Sus scrofa: one gene and its partners. The protein of the gene in region 1 interacts with the protein of each later gene in a pairwise test. Links are inferred from orthologs where the notes say so. Each region holds a gene or a part of one and is shown in the gene's direction. Other genes may lie near its edges.

Region 1 (5,884 bases):
GCTGGCAGCTACAGCTCCAATTAGACCCCTAGCCTGGGAACCTCCATATGCCGAGTGTGCAGCCCTAGAAAAGCCACCCCCCCAAAAAAAAGTCTAGCAGCCTTGATTCACCACTACCATGTCATCACCATGGACAAAAATCTCTCATTTACATTTACTTCCTCTGCCTCCTTTCGTCCAGCTCATTCTTCTCAAATCCCTTGGTTCCCCACCAAAGATGCTTTCCCCTCTCCATCTATTTCATTCCTCTCCTGGAATACTAATCTTAGGATGGGTTTAGGGATGAAAACCTTAGGCCAGGCATTTTGCAAAGAATACCACAAATTTCCTCATTTAATCCTCATACAAATACTAAGATTTAGGAATTATCCCTATTTTTCCATGTGGAAAACTGATGTTAAATAACTTGCCCAAGGTTACAACTAGCATTTTAATCCAAACCCTTCTATTTCAAAAGCCGCACTCTTAACCATTGTACTCTATTGTCTCCAGAGTCTGACTCAAATATGTGGGAAAAAAGTTTCCTTAACTTTGTAGACAATAAGAAGAAAAAAGATCTCTGAATAACTTTGTTTTTTAAACAGGGTCTTCGCAGATGCTGACAGCCTTCTAGCCAAAGCTCAAAAGGGAACATCACCTGCAGCAGAATCTCTCCACCTGGAGGGCTCCTCAGGGCTCAGCAGCTTGGCCAAGGAGCAGCACAGCAAGCATCTCCAGCAAGAATGGATGCAAGGCACAGGAGGAAGGCTGGATCTTGGGCACAGAGTGCCAATAGGGAACAGGTGATTAAGAGATCCCCGTCCCCATGAAGCCCATCAGTTCATTCTGAGACCTTCGTGGTGGTGGTGGTGGTAGTGTGCCTTTTAGTGCGGAACAGAGTAGCTGCCCACCTCAAAAGATTCCCAGATCCGATTTTAAAAGCTTTTAAGAGACAAGGTAGTCACCTAACAATCAAGGGCAAGCAATGACTCCTATGAAAAAGCCTACACATCTACGACAGCGCAGCTAACTTCGAGGGGGCACCAAGAAACGTCTATGGTGGTAAGAAAAGTGCTCCCGTGATGCCTACTAGAATGTAGAGACGGCCACGGCCCCCTCCTCCATAGAGGAGCTGCAAATCCATTTTCCCTTGGTCTGTGTGACAGAAAAGGGAGGCGGCACCCCAATGTCTTCACTCCGAGGGCCTCAGCGACGCACCTCTCGAGCCCTTTCCTTCTAAGGAGTAAGAGGCGTCCCTGTCCGTCGCCCCGCTTAGCCCCAGTCCCCCTCTAGAATTCGGCAATTCTCTCTCCCCTACTCGCTCTCCCTCCAACCTCCTTTCCCCACCCCTCAGCGTGCTAGACCTCTCCTCCCCTATTCCTCGCCTCTCTTCCCTCCCCATTTGGTCCCTTGGCCCCGACTGTCGAACCGCCTGGCCCTGGTACCTTGAGCGTCACGTCGCACAGCTTGCCCTGCCGTCGAATCTCCTCCATGACGCCGTAGCCGCGACTAGGCAACTCGGACACAGAGAAGTGCACCAGGTCCTCCAGCTCCTCAGCGCCGTCCTCCACCATCTTCCTCTGCCGCCGCGACTGCGCAGGCCCAGCCTGCCGCCCCGAAACTAAGCAGGGCGGGGCGAGAGAGCGTGCGGCCGGCAGCTCGGAGCTCCGGGCTGGAGTAGGAAGGGCCTGCGCGGCCGCCGTAGTCTCAGACTACTTTGTGCCGGAAGCCCAACCGCCCCGCTTCCTAGTTCTTGCGCATCCTTTGTTTCCTCGTTACCGCGACCCTCGCTTCGCGCCTGCAGCTGCCGCAGTCTTTCTTGATTAATCCGTCCCATCTCCCGTCCTTCTTACTCAGCCCTGACCTTACTCATATCTCAACAGAGGACAGAGAACTTCATTTCCGCCACTACCCCGTGCTTCCTGAATCGCCGGAAGCGGCAGGTTGCCATGGCGACTGTGTACACAGCCTGGCAGAGGCTCAAGCCGGGATTCCTTCGCTGCTCCTGCTGCGGTCGTGCTGTGGGAGGGCTCCTACCGCCGAAGAGGTAATCAGGCATCATGCTTCGCCGGGGTTGGGAGGAGGGAAGCCGGAAAGCAGGTGTTGGCTCTGGCGGCGGGCAGTCGCTGGAATTTGAACAGCGCTCCACCTGGGAATTCTCCACTTTGGCTCAGTAACCTGTGAAACCTGGGCGGAGGAGGGCGAAGCGTCGCGGGGACCCTTTTAGCCTGGCTGCCGCTAAGGGTGTTCGAATCTAACGTTCCCTGGCCCCACGAGGGCCCTGCGTCGCGTCTGAGGTTTAGAGACCTCTAGTCTTCTGGACCCTTATGTGTTCGTAGAATTTCTAGTTGGAGTGGGCTTTGGGATTGCCAGTCCCAGCTGTTCGCTTTACAGATGTAGAAACCTCTCCAGAGAGGGATAGAGATGGTCTCCAAACCCACTGCCGAATGCCACACAAGGGTCCAGCATGTTGGGTCAGGAAAAGGAGAAAGGCTAGTTCTACTTGAGTTCCAGTCTTTTGTTTAGTCCAAGGCTAGGTGCGTTTGGGCTCTGGGAGGCTCTGATGCTGCTGCCTCTCTAGTGGCTCTGAGAGTTCTGATGGCCGCTCAGAGGTTCACTTTTTTTTTTTTTAATGGCCGCACCCATGGCATTCGGAAATTCCTGGGCCAGGGTTTGAATCTAAGTCACAGCTTCGACCTGCAGATCCTTTAACCCACTGCCCCAGACTGGGTATCAAACCCGCACTTTAGCAGGGACCTGAGCTACTGCAGTCGAATTCTTAAGCTACTGTGCCACAGCAGGACCTCCATAGGTTCACTTATTTACACCAGAAATAACTAAATGTGGTGTCCTTGAGGAAGAAGCATTTCCTACAAGGTCCTGGGGGAGAATGACCCTACTAAAAGGGAAAAGTGTTGAGGGGCTGGAGTTGGCTTCTTGCAGGTGGTGCCTGGAAACCCATTGTCTGCCTGGAAGTGTTGTGATGTTAGGGGTGGAGGCAGTATGGGAAAGGAGTGACATTATTTGCTCTTTGGGACTCTCTCAGTAGTGACCGAAGATGGACCCACATATGGAAATTCAGCCATCCTCTGACTTCCAGCCATGACCATCACCACCAATCACCATTTCTTAAGCACCTGCTCTGTGCTGAGCACTGTTCTGAACTTTGAGGGGGGATTCAAAAGAGATAGAAGGCACAGTCCTGTCCCTCAAGCAGCTTGTAATTTAATCTGGGAGCTGAAACCCACTCAAATGATGCGGCGTAAGAACGGTAACAAGCATTATTTCAGTAAGTGCACAATGGCATGGGGTCCTCAAATGTCTGGGTGTTGAGGGGCTGCTAGATAGCAGACTCACAGGAAGGAGCCAGTTAATAGAGAAAGCTGGTCTCAAGTGGATATGGGTCCTGGTGTGCCTGGAGCCATGGGTGTAAGCATGGGAAGTGCCTTGGGAAGCATAGATATGATGACTGCATGTGCATGTGGGCAAACTGCTGGGCAGAAAAGGGGCAGGCTCTGAGGGGAGGGAAATGCTTGGAGGTGGCTTCATGCTGCCCTTGGGCTGTCATTGGGGAGTGGTTTCCAGGAGGGGGGCTTGGGCATCTGCCCCCAGAGCTGTCCTGTTTCTTCATGGTCCCTTGCAGAGGGCACCTTGGACAGTATCTTAACTTCCTTGGGCTGGAGGATGGTTCTCCAGACGGGTATGGAGAATGCTTCCCAGAGCTTTAGATTTCGAAGGTCATTGTTTGCTTGAGTCAACACACCTCCCTCCACTCTCCACTTCCCAATAGCCTAGATCAAAGTGAACTTGGAAATGAGATATTCTCTTTAGTTTCCTCAATTTGGGAGTCATGTTAGAGCTATTTGTGGCTTTTCATTTCAAGAGCTCAATTTTGCAAACGAAGATTTTGGAACTGAAATTGGACAAGCTGTTATCCTTAGGTACCTTTTAGATTCATTTTCTAAGAATTAAAAGATCTGAAAGATCTCACAGTGACCAGGAAAAGACTTCCATGAAGTAATTAGTTGAGGAATGTTGGAAGTGACACATGCTCTACAGTAGGCAAATGTGAAAATAACGTTTGCTTATTTGAAGTGACAGTTGAAGGGTTTGTAATAGGGTTAGAATTTTTTATTTTGTCTGCTTCATTAAAACTGTAAACTGAAAGGGCAGGACCTATTTAACTTGCTTCTGTAGAGATATTTAATGCCACTTGATATAGTTAAGATAATGGTAAGAGGAAATCAAGTGTTCACCACATTTGACTGTGTTGTGTCTGAAATGTGAAGGGATATTAATACTTTAAAAATCTGGAATCGGGAGTTCCCATCGTGGCGCAGTGGTTAACGAATCCGACTAGGAACCACAAGGTTGCGGGTTCAGTCCCTGACCTTGCTCAGTGGGTTAAGGATCCGGCGTTGCCGTGAGCTGTGGTGTAGGTTGCAGACGCGGCTCGGATCCCGCGTTGCTGTGGCTCTGGCGCAGGCTGGTGGCTACAGCTCCGATTCGACCCCTAGCCTGGGAACCTCCATATGCCGCGGGAGCGGCCCAAGAAATAGCAACAACAACAACAACAACAACAAAAAAAAGACAAAAAGACAAAAAAAAAAAAAAATCTGGAATCGTTTCTATCAGGTAACACTCACTTAACCTCTCTCAGATAATACATATAAAATGTTAATAGTCTTTATTTAATATATGCTCCCCCCACCCTTTGGCCACCACACACAGCATGTGAAGTTTCCAAGATCTACTCTGTAGTGGCAACCTATACCAAAGCTCATGGCAACACCAGATCCTTAACCCACTGAGCAAGGCCAAGGATCCAGCCTGCGTCCTCATGGATACTAGTTGGATTCTTAACCTTCTGAGCCACAATGGGAACTCCCCTAATATATGCTTTTTTAAAAGTAAAATAATTCTAGTTAAAAGAAGAAATCTCTGTTGAACAGGACTTTTTTTTTAACAGTCAAGTTCTTGAAAATTACCTTTTTAAAAATATTGAACAGCTCATCAGTTCATTTGTAAGCATGCATTGCAATTGTGTAAGCAAGTTATTTTTTGCTCAATAACCATGTTGATATCCCTTTTTCCAGTTTGGAGGGGAAACTGAGTCGGCTCCATATGCCTCATATTTCCCTAATTTTACATAAATTCAGCAGCTCCTATGCTGGTTGTCTTTTTCAAATGTGTCCAGGAGTTTCCTTTAGCCTCAACTCCTCTATCCTGCCTCATGACAATAAAGGTTATTTTAGGGGCAGAAGCCTCATTTCTTAATGAACTGGGCCATCCCAGCCAGGAACATCAAAAGAGAACTGGATGATGCAGCACACATCCTGACCCTTGGGCCTCATCTCTGTTCAAAGCTAGTTTTGTACATTCTGGAAATTAACTCAGTTATTAGCATTCTTTATATTCTTGGTCTCATAAAAGTGAAATTATTGAAATCTGAGAGCCCAGTTTTAGGATTATATAACCACAAACTATTTGATGCTCTTGTTGAAATTATTTTTTAGAAGGAAAAAAGAGGGAAAAATATTAGAATGATCTTAGAAAAATGTATATGTAAAATTAGAAACGTTTCAATCTTGGAACAATTTAAAATTGCATTACATTAAGATGCCCATTAGTGTTGAAGTAAGTTATTTGGTATATATTCACAGGCCTTCATCTTGCTTTCTAGTATTACTTAACTAGATTTAACACAGTTATTGATGATAACAGATTTTTAGCTTTCCTTAGAACTCTTGACATTTTCTCTCAATACTTAATCCTTTGTGATTGGTATATAATAGGCACCTAAAAAGCTAATTAAGTTTTAAGTTCCTCTTAGAGCAATAAAAATCAGTGCATTTATTATGTCTATTTAATAATCCTCCTTGCTTCTCCACTCTATCACTGTCTG
Region 2 (6,021 bases), on another chromosome or scaffold:
TACTCATGCAACAGGCCAGGTCTCTGGATCAAGTATTGGTAAGGCCAGATGAATTAAGAGTACTAGTCCTAGCTTGTTCTACCTTAATGTACTGCTTCAGGGCCTTCCAATTCCCTCCCTGGAGTGGTGATACCCACCGCCACAATCCTGATGAGCTAGAGAGGGCAGCTTCCCACAATATCCCAAAATTGGATTAATTCCTTTGTTGGGCATATAAGTGCTCCTGTTGTAAAAAAGTATTTCCATGAAGTGTCCATCCTGTAACCAGACAACAGAGGAGCAGCAGAAGCCTAAGGACAAAAAGACAGGTTTTTAATAGACTTGTATGGGAAGGTCTTCTCCTTCTAACAGTTGCACCTGTGCCCTGATCCTTAGATGTTAATGGGGCTGCAGCTTTAGGAATTTGACCTAGTTATGCATAGCATACATGTTGGCCAGGGGAGGCAGCCCTGTCAGGCATGAAGAGATGGGCTGGGAGTATTCCCTGGGCGTGGGGGAGAATCTACCCCAAGGCAACAAATACTGGGATACCAATATCCACCTCATATATTTTGAAAATTAGAGATTATTCCTTAAAATATAAATTCCACAAAATCAGGGATTTTTGTCTGTCTTGTTTACTCTTACACTTATTTATTTATTTATTTATTTATTTTCTTAATGGCTGAACCTGTGGTATATGAAAGTTCACAGGCCAGGAATCAAACCTGAGCTGCAGCTGCAACTTTTGCCATGGCAGCAGCAATGCTGGATCCTTAACCCACTGCATGGAGCCAATATCAAACTCATGCCTCAGCAGTGACCCCAGCTGCCACAAAGACATCACTGGATCCTTAACCCACTGTGCCATAGAGGGAACTATGGAACTCCACACCTATACTTTTTGATTAGGTGTTTGGTAAGTATTTGCTCAAGGAATGAACAATGCATACAAAACATCTAGACAATTGGAGTTCCCATTGTGGCTCACTGGTTAGAGAACCTGACTAGCATCCATGAGGATTTGGGTTCCATCCCTGGCCTTGAGCAGCAGGTTAAGGATCCAGTACGCTGTGGTGTAGGTCGCAGACTACACCGCCCAGATCCCACGTTGCTGTGGCTCTGGCAGTAGGCCGGCTGCAACAGCTCCAATTGGACCCCTAGCCTGGGAACCTCCATGTGCCATGGGTGCGGCTCTAAAAAGACAAAAGAGACCAAAAAAAAAGAAAAAAATTTTAGGCAATGCCTCATACATGGTAAACATAAATGGCTTAGCTACTATGAAGGCATTTAATATGTAATATGATAATAAAGATAAATTATTGATATGAAGTAGAAAATAATGAATCGAAATAACTACCAAAAACCAAACTATGAAATTCCTGGTAGGAATGATTATTTCTACCTCAAAGGACCTGTACAACAACAGAAACCTGGTTAAACAAATTATGGTATATTCATGCAATGGAATACTATAAAAAAAGTCAAGGAAAATAAAAGAAATGCTGCTACACATGATCACATGGGCGAATCTCATAACCATAATGGTGAGCAAAAGAAATTAGACCCAAGGGAGCATATACTGTATGATTTAGGTGAATATGACATTCAAAAACTAGGTCACTGAATGTTGAATGTTTTATGGCACTGAATGTTGAATGGTTTATTAGGATACTTGCTTTGGGAAAGAGGACAAGTGCAGGTTTGGAGGGACACAGGGACAATCACAGACCGGGTAATGTTTTAATGTCTTGAGCCAGGTAGTGGTTTTATAATGATCATTCATTCTGTATGTATATTTGTATTAGTCAGCCTTGTTTCTGCTATAAAATAACAAGTAACACCAGCATCTCACTGGCTCACAACAACAAAAGGTTTTTGTTTCTTGCTTCCATTCCATGAAATCTATGGTCTACTGGGTTTATTTAGGCTTAGCTTAGCTTGGTTTCATTCCAGAAGTCTTCTCTTCTTAGACCCAGACTAAAAAACTGGCCACTATGTGGGGTATTTTTTTTTTTTCTTTTTTCACATGGCAGAGTTCAGAAACTCAAGGGTGATTACGGCAAGCTGTGCTATATTAAGATCTTTGGCTCAGATAAGAGTATACAGATTGCTCAAAACTTTGTTTCTGATCTTATTGTTCTGGTCATCTCCTCATGCCATAAGCCATGCTCAGAGTTCCCAAGACATAGACTATTTGAAGATTTTTTTTATTTCGCAATATTTATCAAGCTTCAGTGGGAATAAACCCTTGGTCTCTTTATTCAGAGAGCTATATTCTTCAGCTGAAAGCATTATTTTACAGATGTAATTGAAATCCCAAGTCAGTTGATTTTGAATCAGTCAAAACAGAGATTATCCGGGGGAGGTAAGGATATTATTTGGAATAGGACCCTCCCTAAGATAAGAAAGCTTCTTCTTTTGGCCTTGAAGAAGTAAGCTGTATGTCTTCAGAGAGCGTGGGAAACAACCATGTGGCAAGGAACTGCCAGCAGCCTCGCGGATCTGAAATAGCTCCAAGTGACCATCAGGAAAGGAGGGAAACCTCACTCCTACAACTGCAAGGAACTGCAATCACATGCTTGGAAGATCCAGAAAGGAATGTAGCCAGGCTGACACTGTGATTGCAGCCTGGCAGAGGACCCAGTGAAGCAGTGCCTGAACTCCTGACCCACAGACACTATGAGATGTACCAAAAAAAAAAAAAGTCCCATCATGACTCAGGGGAAAGGAATATGATTAGCATCCATGAGGACACAGGTTCCATCCCTGACCTCACTCAGTGGGTTAAGGACCTGGTGTTGCCATGAGCTGTGGTGTAGGTCACAGATGAGGCTTGGATCTGGTGTTGCTATGGTTGTGGCATAGGCTGGCAGCTACAGCTCAGATTCAACCCCTAGCCTGGGAATCTCCACATGCCACAAGTGGGGCTTTGAAAAAAAAATTAATAATAAGGTTGCTTTTTAAGCTGATAGATTTGTAGTGACTTGTTCTACGGCAATAGAAAAAAATAATAGACCTTGCATTCCATAATTTTTGCATGGCCTCACACGGGCCCTGTTAGTCTTCAGATCGTCTAGTGCAGTGGTTCTCAAATTTCAGTGTTCCTTGAAATCAACTAAAGGACTGTTAGAACAAAGACTGCGGAACCCCAACCTTAGAGATTCTTTTATTTATTTATTTACTTAAATTTTTTACAGTCGCACCTATGGCATATGGAAATTTCCGGGCTAGGGTAAAATTGGAGCTACAGAGGCTGTGCTTGGTAACACCAGATCCAAGCCGCATCTGCGACCTATGCTTATGGCAATACAAGATGAGTAACCCACTGAGCTAGGCCAGGGATGGAACCCATATCCTCACTATGTTGGGTTCTTAACCCACTGAGCCACAACGGGAACTCCAGAAATTCTAATTCAGTAGTTACAGAGTGAGGTCCACAATTGTGTGACTCTAACAACATCCGAGGTGACGCCAGCACTTTTGGTCTAGAAACCCTGCTTGGAGCATCCCAGGCCTCCCATGACTATGCTACTTCTATGCACTTTGCATGTCCTGAGTAGCAAAATAACATGAGAACATAAGCATCTGGTTGAAGCAAATGGTTGGCTTCCTTTCATATTAGAGGAATTTGTAAAAGAAAAAGAGAGAGGAAGATCTTACTAAATAATGTTCATTAACCTTAACGCCTGATTTTCGTTAAAGTGTCTGATACTTATTACTCCTGGGGCAGGTGAGCAAATGCTTATTTCCAGAGATGCACTAATACATTACTTTTCTCATATGATAATTTACATTCCTGTTTCTCTGTAGTAATTTCAAGAGTGGGCTGATTCATAGCCGAAATTGTTAGAATGCCATAAACCAATATTTACACTTGAAATTGTTAAAAGGCCATATTCGATACACTAAGAGGGCTCAATAAATTTAAAGTGAACTGCTAATTATGGATTAAGTTCATAATATCCCTGTTGTCACTACCTAAACAATTTAATACACACATTTTTTAAAAGAATTACAACTACTCATAATAATATCATCAGGGAGCCCCGAATGTGCTATTCATCTGTTCTAGTATTAAGTTTCATAGCTGGACCAATACACCATGGATCTAAAAGACACTATACACATCAAGAAACATAGACTTTTTACGTTTGATGTTCCAACTTGTTTAAATGTAAAAATCACCACCTTTTGTCTTCATTTTCTATAAAGGACTTTTTTCTTTCTTTTTTTATTTTGACAGAAGTTCCTCTTTCTATGCTAGCAGCTTCCAGGTAACTGTGGCATGGGAAGAACTACATCATTTAATGATCAGTCATAACAGAGAGATATTTATAACATTTTTCATGTCATTGCTCCTGTGCCCTTCCCAACACACACTCTGAGAATTGTAATTAATTCTTGAAATCCTAAAGGAACTACCTTCAATTCTTATACTGGGCTTTAAAATACATTTTTAAACAACAGACCTCCAAATTAAAGAGGAAAAGATATTAGAAATAAGTATCTGTGGGAAGAAATCACATAGAATCCAAGATAAAATAATACAGGAAAGAAAGTTGAGAGTTAAAAGTGGTATTATTGGAGTTCCTATGACAGCTCAGTGGTAACAAAACCGACCAGGATCCATGAGGATGCAGGTTCGATCCCTGGCCTTGCTCATTGGGTTAAACATCCAATGTTGCCATGAGCTGCAGTGTAGGTCGCAGATGCGGCTTGGATCCCTAGTTGCTGTGGCTGTGGTGCAGGCCTACACAGCTCCAATTCGACCCCTCACCTGGAAGTTCCATATGGCCTGGGTGCGGCCATTAAAAAGAAAAAAAAAAAAAAGTGGCATAATAATGTAGCACCCATGCCATATGGAAGTTCCCAGGCCAGGGATCTAATCCAAGCCACAGCCGTGACCTAAACCATAGTTGTGGTAATGCTGGATCCTTAACCAGCTGTGCCACAGCAGGAACTCCATATTATACAATTTTAATACATATTTGCTTATACATATTTGTATTCTACTATTTGCTTAAGTAAGAAAGAAAGAAAAATAGATACTATAACATTAACACAAAAGTATAAGCTCCTTGGAGTAAGGATTTTTGTCTTTGTTTATTGACTGATCCTCTGTTTCTCAAATACTTAGTGTAGAGTAGAAGTCCAGAATGTTTGTTGAATGAATGAATGGTTGGATAAGTGCATGAATGTGTGTGATGCAAAAACTAACCATGGTTCTTCCAGTCATGCAAAACACATATGTTATCCTGTGTGTATTCAAGCCTGCCAATCTGGAATATGGAAATGGTTCAGATTCTAGCACAATGTGCTAAAATCTCAATATTAAAGTGAAAAAAAAATCTAGGTGTTGAAACATCCATCGTTTGGCATAGAAAAGCCACCTATCTAAATAGCTCTGGTACAATGGGATAAGCAAAAAAAGAGTCACATATAAGGAGCGCAGGGCCCGAGACCGGTTGAAAAAGCTACTAAAAAATGGTAACATCTAAAAAATAAATAAATAAAAAATGATAACATCTAAGCACTATCCAAAAAGATGAGTGAGAGGACAAAGGAGTACCACATCCAAAGCCAAGGTACAAAAATGTCAAAGTTCACAGTGCTTTTAGAGAATAGTAAGTTGTGGATTTCAAACTTTTAACTGTAACCTGTAGCAAGAAATACACATATAGTACATTTAACTGAAACAAAACACATATAGTACATTTAACTGAAACAAGTTTCATGAAATAATACTCACCTTTACTCATTCGATGTACCTGGATTTTTTTTTATTTTTTATTATTAATATTATTATTATTGGTAATGTTGGTGAAGCCATATTAAATCAGTTTCAAGATCCATTTGTTTGAAAAACATTGGGTTTGCACATTTAATAGATGTGGCGAGTAAGCCACTGACAGGAAAATACAAAGAACGCTCCTCCAGCACAGCTCCAATTCTTCTCCCATCCAGGTGTTTTGCTGCTGAGCTGCAATGTTAAGGGAAAGACTATGATATGGTCCCTTTTTTTACTTAAAACAACTTAGT
Region 3 (6,073 bases), on another chromosome or scaffold:
ATGTTGCTGTGGCTCTGGCGTAGGCTGGTGGCTACAGCTCCGATTCAACCCCTAGCCTGGGAACCTCCATATGCTGCGGGAGCGGCCCAAAGAAATAGCAAAAAGACAAAAAAAAAAAAAAATTCTTGAGCCATGGACTCCATAAGCATAATAAAATACTCTTTTTTTATTATTTACTTATTTATTTTTGGCCACACCCATAGTATGTGAAAGTTCCCAGGCCGGGGGTCAAACCCACCCCACAGCAGCAACCCAACGCTGGATCCTTAACCCTCTGTGCCACAAGGGAATTCCAATAGTGACAACGCTGGATCCTTAACCCTCTGTGCCACAAGGGAATTCCAATAGTCTTTGATTTATGCCACAAAGTTCAGGTTGATTTATTACACAGCAATGGTAACTAGACTATCACCCTTCCCCACCAGATCTCTCAAGGGTTGTGTATTCTCACCACCTCTATTTCTTTATCCCTATGTAGTCCCCTAATCTGGATTTTGCTCCCTTCTTTCAAGCGTAATAATGTTCTCTGAAGTCAATGATTTCCAAGTTGTTAAATCCAATAGACATTTTCTTTCTTTCTTTTTTTTTTCTTTTTGCCATTTCTTGGGCCGCTCCCTCGGCATATGGAAGTTCCCAGGCTAGGGGTCCAATAGGAGCTGTAGCCGCTGGCCTACGCCAGAGCCACAACAACACAGGATCCGAGCCGCGTCTGCAACCTATACCACAGCTCATGGCAACACTGGATCCTTAACCCACTGAGCGAGGCCAGGGATCGAACCTGCATCCTCATGGATACTAGTTGGGTTTGTTTCTGCTGAGCCACAATGGAAACTCCCCCCCTCCTAGTTTCCATAACACCGCACTATCCCACATCTCTTCCTTCTATCCCAGTCACTTCTTAGATTCTTGCAATTTTACTTTCCTCTAGGAAGCCACTAGATGATGAAGCTGGTGATGCTTGTTCTATGCTTTATTCTTTTCTTATTTTATATTCTCTTTCTCTATCTATATCCATGGTTTTAATTCCTAGCTACATTGATGACAACACTTTACCTCAAATAATTTTATCTATTATGTTCCAGGCCATATGTCCAAATGCCTTTTAACATTTTGTACTATCTAGGGTTCTTAGTGACACAGACTCATTTGCCTTGGCTGATTTAAACAGAAATGAATGTATTAAAAGTTTACAGAATTATGGGAAGAGCAAAGCATAGGGTTTGGTGCCTATGCTAACCAGGTAGAAACAACAGCAAGTCATACCATAGAACTGGCCTGGTAAGGATACCAACACTGCTCTCAGCAGAGACCTGGCAGCTGGCACCACAGATAACCCTAGTGCTGGACAGCGGATACTGCCACTAACAGCACTGCCTCTATGGCACCTGGAGACACTATCTTGCTGCAACAGTCACCACTGCCAGAAAAGATTCTTAGAGGTTCCTGCTTCTTGGTGGTATAGCTCCCTCATCAAAGTCCCCAGTAAGTGCCTCTGATTATTAAAGTGTAGCCCATGACCATTGCCTTAGCCACAAGGGATTCTGGGAAAGCAAGTCACTGGCATTTCCAGATTCTGCTGCAGAAGGCAGATTCTATCTCCCACCAATTATTCATAACATAAGAAGTTCGCCAAACATATAAATTGAGTTTCAGAAGCTAGGAGGGGGAAGTTGAGGGAAAAAACTTCCATTACTTTTTCCTTGCAACAAAGGATGTGCTCTCTTGAGGAACAAGTTTGTAGAACTTTTTTGCATGTTTTAATTAATTAAGGCTAAAATAAAACCCTTTGTGATAACAATGCCCAGGTCTTTGGGGGAGAATTCTCAATGGGGATGCTAGCAGAATAGTTTGGGTACATCCAAATCTCCTGATACCTAGCAGGTTTTCAAACATGTTTTCAATTACCTGTTCAGAATGTGAGAAGGTGCAACTAAATAGCAAAATAACTCAAGTAATACAGAAGTGACATTAAGAGATAGTTGTGAATATTTTGTATCCTTCTAGTAGAGACTATGATCCTCAAATCACATAGCTAACTATTGATGAAACCACAGTAATAAATTCTGTTCAGTATGACTGAGTGTGACAAAAGAGAGAAATCCAACAAAAACTAAATGTTTTAAAATTTTGAGTCTTTTTTTCGGTTTTGCTATATCACAGTATTATTCAATGCCTGACCCCAGCAGAAGGAACTGGAAAACGTAGTTTGTAGAATTAATGTTTGCCTGCTAACTATGAATATTCAGTGATTTATGATGTTAGCAGATATAGAACCTGACGTGTGTACTCTAAACATTAGGGATGTATCATCAATGTTAGTATTTGACAACACAAAACCTCCTATTCTTACTAGTTTTATATTTTCTCTGAACTTGACCAAGGATTATTTTTTCTTATCTCAGCTTCTTGGGTTATCCTCTTCAAAGAAAATTCTTGTGACTTGCAGAGGTTTAGAAAAGATTACCCTTGACTAAAACGAGTTCTTCAAAAAGGGAAAAATTCTGTGCAGATCTCTTCCATTTGACGTTGCTAAACTTAAGTACAATAATGTCACATGCACTTATACAGTAATTGTGGGCACGCCTAAGTCCCTCCCTCTTTCCTAAACCAAATTCCCCAGATCCTAGAAATCCAGCCCTTCTGCCCTCCCGGAGGCGCCTTTCCCAACGTAAAGTACAATTTAAAATTTAAGCTCCTTACTAAATAATGATTCTGTAGTCAAGTGCTAGGGGATCTGGGCACTCCATTGCCTCCGGAGGGTGCAGCAGGGTGTAGGCAAGGGCAGGGGGAGTGGGCGAAGCTGCTGGTTGGTGCCTGAAATCTGTGCGTTGCCCCTTTAATTGTGTCCCCAGCCCTCGGGCGTTTCTGTCCAACGCCCACGTCAGCAAATACCTTTTGTTTCTCTCACGTTGGGGCTACTTGTTTTAGGGCGCAAAGGAACGGCTTCAAAAGGGGGTATTTCCCCTGCCGGGAACCGGGAATCTTCCCCCAGCCCGCGCGCGCGCCCCGCCGGTGCGCCGCGGCCCGCGGTAAGTGGCTGCGCGCGACGCGGGCGAAGGGCGGGCGGGGCGTCGGGGCTGCCCGGGACGGGCCCACGAGCCTAGCTGCGGGCGAAGGCGCCGCGGGCTCTGGTCCCCGGGCGGCAGCGGCGGCGGCGACAGCGGGATGCGGCCCCGGCGCGGCGCCCCCAGACGTTCCCGGTCCAGAGAGCGGCGGGAGGCGCAGAGGCGAGCGGGCGCCATTTGCAGCCCCGGGCACAGCGGCGGTGGCGCGCCGGCTCCGAGGGGCTGGAGACGGTCACAAAGGAGGCGCGGGCAGCCGGCGCCCAGGACCCGGCCTCCGGGCGGCGGCCAGCGGGGGAGAGGCGGGCGGCGGCGGGGCGCACCGGTCCCCGGACTGCGCGGCCGCCTCTCCGGCGCCCATCCAACCGCCCGGCCCGGCCCGCCTGCGCGCCCGGGAGGGGTTGCGGGACAATGGCAGCGCCGTCGCCGCCCGCGCCCGCCCAGCGCCGCGCCCGCCTGGCCGCCCGGCCTGGCCCGGCCGCGGCGCGGGGAAAGGCGGGAAGGCGCGCGGAGCCTCCTGGCGGCGGCGGCGGGAAGGCGGCGCGGGGACCGTGCCGGGCGTGTCTGGAGCCGTCGGGCGGCGCGGACTCCCGGAGGGTCGGCAGCCAGCCGGGCTCGGGCTGCGCGGCGGGTGATGGGTGGCCCGCCGGGTGGGGTGGCCAAGGTCCGGGGCTTCTCTCCTGCAGCTCCGGGCGCTTCCTCGGGTAGGTGGCTGGCTGGGCAGTAGTCCGAGTTTCTGCGTACATCCTCCATCCTTTGGTTTTATATGGTGATGTGACAGATCCGGGCTGAGAAGCCAAGGCAGACTTACTATACCTAACAAATATTGAGCTATAATTATTATTTTATGCCGAACCCACACGTACGCACCTTCTACCTATGCAGACGGCCTCTCTTGTAAGTTAATTAGTGGTTTGGCCCCTTCTCCATCGCATGCGCTTATTTATTGTTGATTGTGCCAGTAGCCAGCCAGTCTCCACATCTTTAAAAGGCGTGGTTTTTTTGTTTTTTTTTTTCTCCCCTTTTTTTCCTTTTAAATTGAGATATGGTAGACAAGTAACATTGTGTTAGTTTTAGTCCAATGAGTGTTTGGAAGCCGCAGATTCTCACCTATTGGGCTTTTAAACTCCACACATCAGTTTTACTTCTATTCTTGATAAATGTTTTTATTTGCAGAACTTTAGTAAATGGAGTGCTTTCGCCTATATGAATTATATCACATAAAACAACTACCCAGTCAGGCTGAGGATTATTTCACTTTCTAGATGAGGAAACACATTAAGCATTTAAGCTTTAAGCCAGGAGGTGAGAGGTGGCAGCCTTCCAATGCCCTTGCCTCCTGCTCTAGCTCTTCATTTCCTCCTAAAGTCACCTCCAGAGCTTTCCAGTAAGCAACTCATATTGCTTCCCTGCTCTGAAAACGTTAACTGATTTGTATCAGAAGCAAATCTAAAATCCTCAGCAGAAGAACCCCAGCTCAATCTTCCTTTCTGTAACCTTCCCCAAGCCCTGGGTATGGCTGGGTTTGTGAGGCCCCTGGAGCAAGAGCCCTTTGCTATAACCAGAGATCAGATGTCTTTATTCCCAGGAGCCCCCTGACCACACAAGATGTTAATGGGAAGTGAGGATCCAACCTGCCGGTCTTGGCTAAACGGACATGGCTCTAAAATGTTAGTAGGAGGCATCGTCTTGACCTTTTCCACATCATGTAAATTTCCGACCCGGTAAAGAAGGCACTCTGCTAGACCTTTTCTCAGGGCCTTGAAATTACCAGCTTTGCTGTTGATAGTGATTTGAGCCCAGGAAAAACTTTGTAAGATAGGGCAATACTTGTTTCCTCCTATATCATTTAAATCTTATTTTCTAGATCAAATGGAATTTCTGTCTAATAGGTTCAACCCTTTCAGTGACCTAACTACATGTTTATCAGATTTAAAAGATTTGGTGCAAGTTTTTTCATCCCCTTGAGGGAAGTCTTTGTCACCTCTTTGCTCAGAATTGGTCAGTGGCTCCCCATCTTCAGTGGCTCCCCATTTTACTCAGACCAAAAGTCGGAGGCCCCTAAATAGTCTGTAAGGCCTTGTAGAAACTGGTCCCATGATGTCCTACCTGCCCCAGCCCTCCTTAATGTTCCTCCAGTCTTCTTTGCCTGCTTCACCTCAGAGCCTTTGCACTTGCTGTTACATCTGCCTGGAACACCCTTCCCCCAGATGCCTGACTGACTCTTTGTCCTCCTTTGGACCCTTTTTTTTTTTTTTTTTCTTTTCTTTGGCCCCAGCCTGCAGCTTGATGTGGGATCTCAGTTCCCAGACCAGGGATGGAACTCAAGCCACAGCAGTGAAAGCACCACATCCTAACTACTAAACCACCAGGGAACTCTCTAGACTTTATTTTTTTAATTAAAAAATTTCTTTTCCTTTTTTTTTTTTTTTCTTTTTGGCATCCACAGCACATGGAATTTCCCGGGCCAGGGACTGAATCTGAGCCACAGCTGCATCAACACCAGATTCTTAACCCAATGAACCAGGCTGGGGATCAAGCCTGTACTGCCTCAGAGACAGTGCCAGATCCATAACCTGCTGTACCACAGTGGGAACTCCTGGATTTTTCTTTAAATGCCATCTTTTCATTGAGATTTGCCCAAATACTGCTTTGATTTTCTTAAACAGTTTTATACTTAGTTCTAAATCTTTCCGGGGTTGGAGTTCCCGTTGTGCCGTGGTGGAAACGAATCTGACTGGTATCCATGAGGATGTGGGTTCAATCCCTGGCCTCGATTAGTGGATCGGGGATCTGGTGTTGCCGTGAGCTATGGTGCAGGTCGTTGACATGGCTCGCTCGGATCCTGAGTTGCTGTGGCTGTGGCATAAGATGGCAGTTGTAGCTCCGATTTGACCCGTAGCCTGCCAACTTCCATATGCTGCAAGATCGACCCTAAAAAGTAAAAAAAAAAAAATTTGGCCATGCCAGCAGCATGCAGAATTTCCCAGGCTAGGGATTGAACCCACACC

What was found. The genes of interacting proteins can lie anywhere in the genome.
Region 2: the proteins of KIF9 (region 1) and PRMT6 interact in a two-hybrid assay, tested with the Homo sapiens proteins (2 studies listed by BioGRID and IntAct). The link is inferred for Sus scrofa from reciprocal best matches to the Homo sapiens genes KIF9 and PRMT6.
Region 3: the proteins of KIF9 (region 1) and ZBTB8A interact in binary tests that used the Homo sapiens proteins (3 or more experiments, as listed by UniProt). The two-hybrid records come from large-scale screens. The link is inferred for Sus scrofa from reciprocal best matches to the Homo sapiens genes KIF9 and ZBTB8A.

What each region holds. Positions count from the first base shown.
Region 1 is NC_010455.5:30,058,878-30,064,761, reverse strand, and holds the start of KIF9 (kinesin-like protein KIF9), read left to right. Parts: upstream 1-1,890; 5' UTR 1,891-1,928; coding exon of another isoform or gene 1,929-2,026; intron 2,027-3,022; exon of another isoform or gene 3,023-3,025; 5' UTR 3,026-3,081; coding exon 3,082-3,268; intron 3,269-5,884. Other genes in the region: KLHL18 (kelch-like protein 18), read right to left, coding at 1,425-1,553. UniProt on the Homo sapiens protein: Essential for normal male fertility and for progressive motility of spermatozoa.
Region 2 is NC_010446.5:112,706,302-112,712,322, reverse strand, and holds the start of PRMT6 (protein arginine N-methyltransferase 6), read left to right. Parts: upstream 1-2,017; 5' UTR 2,018-6,021. UniProt on the Homo sapiens protein: Arginine methyltransferase that can catalyze the formation of both omega-N monomethylarginine (MMA) and asymmetrical dimethylarginine (aDMA), with a strong preference for the formation of aDMA.
Region 3 is NC_010448.4:88,920,177-88,926,249, forward strand, and holds the start of ZBTB8A (zinc finger and BTB domain-containing protein 8A), read left to right. Parts: upstream 1-2,069; 5' UTR 2,070-3,029; intron 3,030-6,073. UniProt on the Homo sapiens protein: May be involved in transcriptional regulation.